Saccharomyces cerevisiae S288C: one gene and its partner. The protein of the gene in region 1 purifies or fractionates together with the protein of each later gene. This does not show direct contact. Each region holds a gene or a part of one and is shown on either strand. Other genes may lie near its edges.

Region 1 (3,131 bases):
TTAATATGGTTATGCTTTTCTGCCTTGGCGAATCAGCTCTTTAAGTAGCGCCAGTCTTTTATATTTCCCCTCCCGAGTGTTGATTAAAGTTTTTTTATTATCAGGGATTCCACCCTCTTTCAATAGATCCAAACCGTGGGAGGTGACGTTTCGGCACGATGAACGTAATAATTATTGTGATAATAATATAATGTAATATAACATAGTAGTATTATATATATATATATATATATATATAAATAGGAAAGAAAGGACAAGGACAAAAAGGAAAAGAAAACTGCAATTGTTGAATATGTAGTTACTAGTTCTCATTCCTTCTTTTTTTTTTTAATTTTTTATTTGGTCATTTTGACCATAGTAAATGGAATGCTCTTAGAATGTGCTTGTTGTGTATCGTATCGTAGCAAATGGCGTAATGAAAAAGTTTCTGATTTTTGTAGTCTTTTTTTTATTGTGAAAATTATTTTTATTCGTCGAGTTAGGGAGGGCATGCCGTCGTGTTATAAGAAATAGCCGGCTCTTTGATTATTATGGTTTGCCGTGGATTCTCTTATGTAGTCATCGGGAACAGCCGAGAAAATTTTGAAAGTAGGTTCCAGATCCTCATCGACCTTCATTACACTCGCGACATTACCACATCTATAACAGTAATTTGGCGCGGACCACACGGTTACAACGTCCTTTTCAGGAAAATGGTACTTGAACCCCTCCATAACCAGTTGGTGAGCCCGGGCAATAAGGTTCAGTCCATTAACGTGGTTAAACTCTCTAGCAACTTTACTGCCAAAGAGCCATCCTGCACCACGAGGGGAAACTTGCCAAGCCTCTACATTGTCAGGGTCTGACCAAAGCAGGTCCGAGAACCCACCCTCGTGTGGCACTTCTTGAGCTCTTGACAAGACTCTGATTTGATCGAGCATTCTAATCTCGGGAGATAACCCTCCATGGACACATAAGATCTTACCGTCAATTATAGCGGCCAGCGTCAGGAAATCAAAAACTTGACAGCAATACTTCCATACGGTGGTAGATCCGTACTTATTCAGGCATTCCTCGTAGAACCCGTAAACTTGAGTAATTTGTCTGGACTCATGGTTTCCTCTGACCAAAGTTATCTTTGCCGGGTACTTGACTTTCAGACACATTAAAAGCGTAAAAGTTTCCAGACTATAGTAGCCACGATCCACGTAATCACCGAGAAAAATGTAGTTTATATCGTCAGGAAAGCCACCCGCCGTACGGAATAGCTCTAACAAGTCATGAAATTGGCCGTGTATGTCTCCACATACAGTAACGGGGGTCTGTACCGGCTGGATGTTACTTTCCTCCATCAAAAGTTCTTTCACCATTTCACACAGTTGTTTCATCTCGTTTTCAGTTAGCGCCTGGCATTTCTTTATTGTTTCAAGCCATTCGTCGGGGCCTCTAGATACCATTGTTATTGTTCCTTTTATTATGGATGTTTTTGAGCTTCAATAGTATTTCACCTTGTAATGTCGAATCTAAAAAGAGCGAGGAGGGGACTGAAGAATAATAGGAAGAGAAAGAGGGACCGTATGTGCAGAACTCCTTTATCTGTATGCTTATGATAGTATGCAATAACCTATTGTATTGCTTCTTTTTCTTTTTTATCTACCGTCTGTAGCTCTTCAATGCTCCATTACGTTGTGTGCGAGCATCACTGGGTTTCCACTGAAGGCTATATTTTTTTTAATTTTGCTGGGCTTCGACTCGATATGCATGTTTTTTTTTTACCGCTCCATGAGCGAAGAGAGAAAGAGAGCGAGAGCGAAAGAAAAAATACAGCGGACTTGACTAGACTTATTACCCGCAGAAAGATGGATATCACTTAACACGGAAGTATCGCTCGCGCCGCTTCATGTTACCCGCGGCTGTGTTATTCCCCCTTTTTCTTTCTTTTTCTTTTTTTTTTTTTTTTTTTTTTTTGGATTTCTTTTAATTTCATTCTTTTCATCTCTCCTGCGTCGCCTTACACTTCATGGTTACCAATAGCGTGGCCTTCCTTTTTTTTTTTCCGGGAACCGCCGCGGCTTTGCAATTTGCTTGTTAGTCAAACCCCGCGGTAGTTAAAATCAGTGACAAGAGCAGAAAAAACACCACACGCAATGGCCGCATATGAGGCAAATGGTGGGGAGGCACGACGTGGCCGCACAGGGGAAGGGGAGCCCACATTTGCGTTATTTTTTTTCCTCCGGCTGCTTTTTAGCCTTCTACGCGCGGGACGGCTTGCGCGCGTTCTCGGAACTTCTAATTAGTCCGGGGGGAATCAAGTTCCGGGCCGACACTTACACGAGCACATTGAGGAAAATAAAATCCGGGAATGTCTTGCCGGATATGACCTGAATTGGGAATCCCGGATTTTTTTTACTACTTCTTTCGTTGGCCTCATTCGAGTCTTTGAATAGAAAAAGAACAGATCTCAAATAGCCGCATTGATTCTCGCTTGGCTGCCACACAATTTGGTAGTGGCTGTCGGAAACCCCCCATGCGCTTATTGCTAGATTGGTCTTTTCCTTCCCTTACGGCCCGTGGCTAACTCTCAAGGATATCTCTAGATTGTCACTTCCTAGGGGCATTGTTAGTGGTATGGTTACTTAAACCTATTTTATGTACGTAATGCTCTCCTCGCTGTTTTACTCTTCCCTTTTCCAATTTTTTTTCTTCGTTTCCTTTTGTTTTCTACTACTGATAGCTCCCATCCGCAGAGGAACAGAGGGCGAAAAAAAAAGCACCATTTCTTAAAAGTTAAAGCTGCATCAGTGCGTTCTTTATTCTGTCTATTTCTCAAAAGCGCATATTTCCGTCTTTATACATTTATATATATATTCTAAGTGGAGCTGGAAAAAACATGGAAGTAAATTCGGTGCCCTATGATTAGGATATCTAATTCTTGTCAGTTGCTTTTCTTGGTTTGCAGTAGCTGTAACACTGGAGCGCTTGGAATATTTGTTACTTCTTTTCTTTGGCTTCCCCTATGCTGGTATCATCATCTTTTGCATCAAGCATTGACTCAGTAATGTCCCATGAGACGATGTCTTTACGGAGAAACCCTCCCTTTATAGATACTCCAGAAAAAATGCCAAACCCAACGGCTTCTCCCAATGGCACCA
Region 2 (3,758 bases), on another chromosome or scaffold:
TGGAGCCCGCGGTGTCATGTTTGCCTCTTAGTGCATCTATTGTAGAATTGATGATATTGTAGCTCAACGCGAGAATCCCCGCATTATTACCTAAGAAGGGACCTCTCTTAGTAATGTGATTCAGGACGGTGTTCAATTGCAATTTTCCGGGACTATTGGGCGGAATATTCTGCAGACCCTGCATCATACCAGAAAACCCTCCGATACCAAGTCCCAGCAGGTAGACGGCACCGGTACCGTAACATAGGTCATCGGTCCACCCACGGGAAGGGATCAGACCCTGTGAGCCTTCTAACGAGGATAGTTGTTCTTCTTCCAGATCTAAATACTCCACACCCTTGTCTAGACCAGCCAAAGGATGCAGCCTAGCGGTGTCGACATGCATTCCACCAGGACCTGATATTATGTTATTGATGTTTGGCTCGAAACCTAAACTCTGCTTCAACGATAGTTCCTTAGGCTTGGTTGTATCTTGGCCGCCCACGGCAGCATTCGCATCATCGGTAGGTGTCTTATCTCCAAAAAGCCACGACATGATTGTGTGTGATCTGTTAAACAAGTATACCTATATTATCTTGGTTATTTTTTTTTTTTCTATCTGCTTTTGTTAACGCTATAACGTGTAGTATGTACAGGCAAAGAGAGTAGAAGAGGAAAATGGTCTTTTTTTTTTTTTTTTCTGCAATGGAGGGCGAATGCAATAACCTATTATTTCTATTAATTAAACGCAACAAATGTTTCCCTTTTGCTCTACGTAAAGGTTCCTTTCTCTCTTTTTTTTGTCGGTGTCTTTTTTTTTTCAGTATTTTCTCTTTTTTTCAATGAATCGTCGATTTCCTTTTCTTCCTTTTGCGATTAAATTATTTTTACCCAGCTTTAGCAAGCCAGTTCGTACGCAGCGACTAGCAAACAGCCGGGTAACTCACATTTTGTTTGCACACTTAAAATACCCATACAGAACCATTATATATGTTGGGTTGAATTGGGACCTAATGTGCTGCTCAGGTGCCGCGTATATCATGACACTTATACTTGGTGGGGAATCGCCCGTCAGGCCTGAACGCAACGAACCCGCGCATGCATCGACGTCACAGTGAGCTCAGGCCGCATCACGGCCGTTACGCCCTCCAGAGTCACCACGACTGCGACTAGTATCATCCGTCAAGAAGAACAAGAACAAGAACAAGAACAAGAACAACAAACTCCGGGCACATCTCTCGGCTTCAGTCGCTTTCGCTCATTGCCTGTAGGTTGGCCCGATATGCGTTGACGTTATCCAAAGGGGAATGCTTCATCTTGTTGAACAACGCCCAACAATTTCCACTGCCCACCGAATCGTTGCGCCCGTTAAAATCTTCACATGGCCCGGCCGCGCGCGCGTTGTGCCAACAAGTCGCAGTCGAAATTCAACCGCTCATTGCCACTCTCTCTACTGCTTGGTGAACTAGGCTATACGCTCAATCAGCGCCAAGATATATAAGAAGAACAGCACTCCCAGTCGTATTCTGGCACAGTATAGCCTAGCACAATCACTGTCACAATTGTTATCGGTTCTACAATTGTTCTGCTCTCTTCAATTTTCCTTTCCTTATTCTACTCTTTTTATCCCTTTCGTACAGTTTACCTGAAGATAAAAAACAACAAAGCCAATTCCCTAATTTGCAATCGCCATTTGCATCTATATATATATATTTGTTGTGCCATTTTTTTATCCTCTGTGAGTGATCGGTGCATGTGTTTATAAAAGTTTATTCATTCTACTATACGAACTTTTCCCTCTGCCCTTCCCTCCCGCTTCATCCTTATTTTTGGACAATAAACTAGAGAACAATTTGAACTTGAATTGGAATTCAGATTCAGAGCAAGAGACAAGAAACTTCCCTTTTTCTTCTCCACATATTATTATTTATTCGTGTATTTTCTTTTAACGATACGATACGATACGACACGATACGATACGACACGCTACTATACTATACAAATATAATAGTATAATAACCGATTCGTCTTCTAGCTTAATTTTTTTCCGTTCCCGAAACAGCGCAGAAAATTAGAAAAAATCAAGTTTCTACCATGAGCGAAGAAAGCTTATTCGAGTCTTCTCCACAGAAGATGGAGTACGAAATTACAAACTACTCAGAAAGACATACAGAACTTCCAGGTCATTTCATTGGCCTCAATACAGTAGATAAACTAGAGGAGTCCCCGTTAAGGGACTTTGTTAAGAGTCACGGTGGTCACACGGTCATATCCAAGATCCTGATAGCAAATAATGGTATTGCCGCCGTGAAAGAAATTAGATCCGTCAGAAAATGGGCATACGAGACGTTCGGCGATGACAGAACCGTCCAATTCGTCGCCATGGCCACCCCAGAAGATCTGGAGGCCAACGCAGAATATATCCGTATGGCCGATCAATACATTGAAGTGCCAGGTGGTACTAATAATAACAACTACGCTAACGTAGACTTGATCGTAGACATCGCCGAAAGAGCAGACGTAGACGCCGTATGGGCTGGCTGGGGTCACGCCTCCGAGAATCCACTATTGCCTGAAAAATTGTCCCAGTCTAAGAGGAAAGTCATCTTTATTGGGCCTCCAGGTAACGCCATGAGGTCTTTAGGTGATAAAATCTCCTCTACCATTGTCGCTCAAAGTGCTAAAGTCCCATGTATTCCATGGTCTGGTACCGGTGTTGACACCGTTCACGTGGACGAGAAAACCGGTCTGGTCTCTGTCGACGATGACATCTATCAAAAGGGTTGTTGTACCTCTCCTGAAGATGGTTTACAAAAGGCCAAGCGTATTGGTTTTCCTGTCATGATTAAGGCATCCGAAGGTGGTGGTGGTAAAGGTATCAGACAAGTTGAACGTGAAGAAGATTTCATCGCTTTATACCACCAGGCAGCCAACGAAATTCCAGGCTCCCCCATTTTCATCATGAAGTTGGCCGGTAGAGCGCGTCACTTGGAAGTTCAACTGCTAGCAGATCAGTACGGTACAAATATTTCCTTGTTCGGTAGAGACTGTTCCGTTCAGAGACGTCATCAAAAAATTATCGAAGAAGCACCAGTTACAATTGCCAAGGCTGAAACATTTCACGAGATGGAAAAGGCTGCCGTCAGACTGGGGAAACTAGTCGGTTATGTCTCTGCCGGTACCGTGGAGTATCTATATTCTCATGATGATGGAAAATTCTACTTTTTAGAATTGAACCCAAGATTACAAGTCGAGCATCCAACAACGGAAATGGTCTCCGGTGTTAACTTACCTGCAGCTCAATTACAAATCGCTATGGGTATCCCTATGCATAGAATAAGTGACATTAGAACTTTATATGGTATGAATCCTCATTCTGCCTCAGAAATCGATTTCGAATTCAAAACTCAAGATGCCACCAAGAAACAAAGAAGACCTATTCCAAAGGGTCATTGTACCGCTTGTCGTATCACATCAGAAGATCCAAACGATGGATTCAAGCCATCGGGTGGTACTTTGCATGAACTAAACTTCCGTTCTTCCTCTAATGTTTGGGGTTACTTCTCCGTGGGTAACAATGGTAATATTCACTCCTTTTCGGACTCTCAGTTCGGCCATATTTTTGCTTTTGGTGAAAATAGACAAGCTTCCAGGAAACACATGGTTGTTGCCCTGAAGGAATTGTCCATTAGGGGTGATTTCAGAACTACTGTGGAATACTTGATCAAACTTTTGGAAACTGAAGATTTCGAGGATAACACTATTACCACCGGTTGGTT

What was found. The genes of interacting proteins can lie anywhere in the genome.
Region 2: the proteins of SIT4 (region 1) and ACC1 purify together in Saccharomyces cerevisiae (affinity purification with mass spectrometry; 4 studies listed by BioGRID). This does not show direct contact.

What each region holds. Positions count from the first base shown.
Region 1 is NC_001136.10:368,076-371,206, reverse strand, and holds SIT4 (type 2A-related serine/threonine-protein phosphatase SIT4), read right to left. Parts: upstream 1,437-3,131; coding exon 501-1,436; downstream 1-500. Other genes in the region: STP4 (Stp4p), read left to right, coding at 2,996-3,131. UniProt on the Saccharomyces cerevisiae protein: Involved in the dephosphorylation of the large subunit of RNA polymerase II. Is required in late G1 for normal G1 cyclin expression, bud initiation and expression of certain genes that are periodically expressed during late G1.
Region 2 is NC_001146.8:659,690-663,447, reverse strand, and holds the start of ACC1 (acetyl-CoA carboxylase ACC1), read left to right. Parts: upstream 1-2,073; coding exon 2,074-3,758. Other genes in the region: protein transporter TIM23, read right to left, coding at 1-535. UniProt on the Saccharomyces cerevisiae protein: Carries out three functions: biotin carboxyl carrier protein, biotin carboxylase and carboxyltransferase. Involved in the synthesis of very-long-chain fatty acid synthesis which is required to maintain a functional nuclear envelope.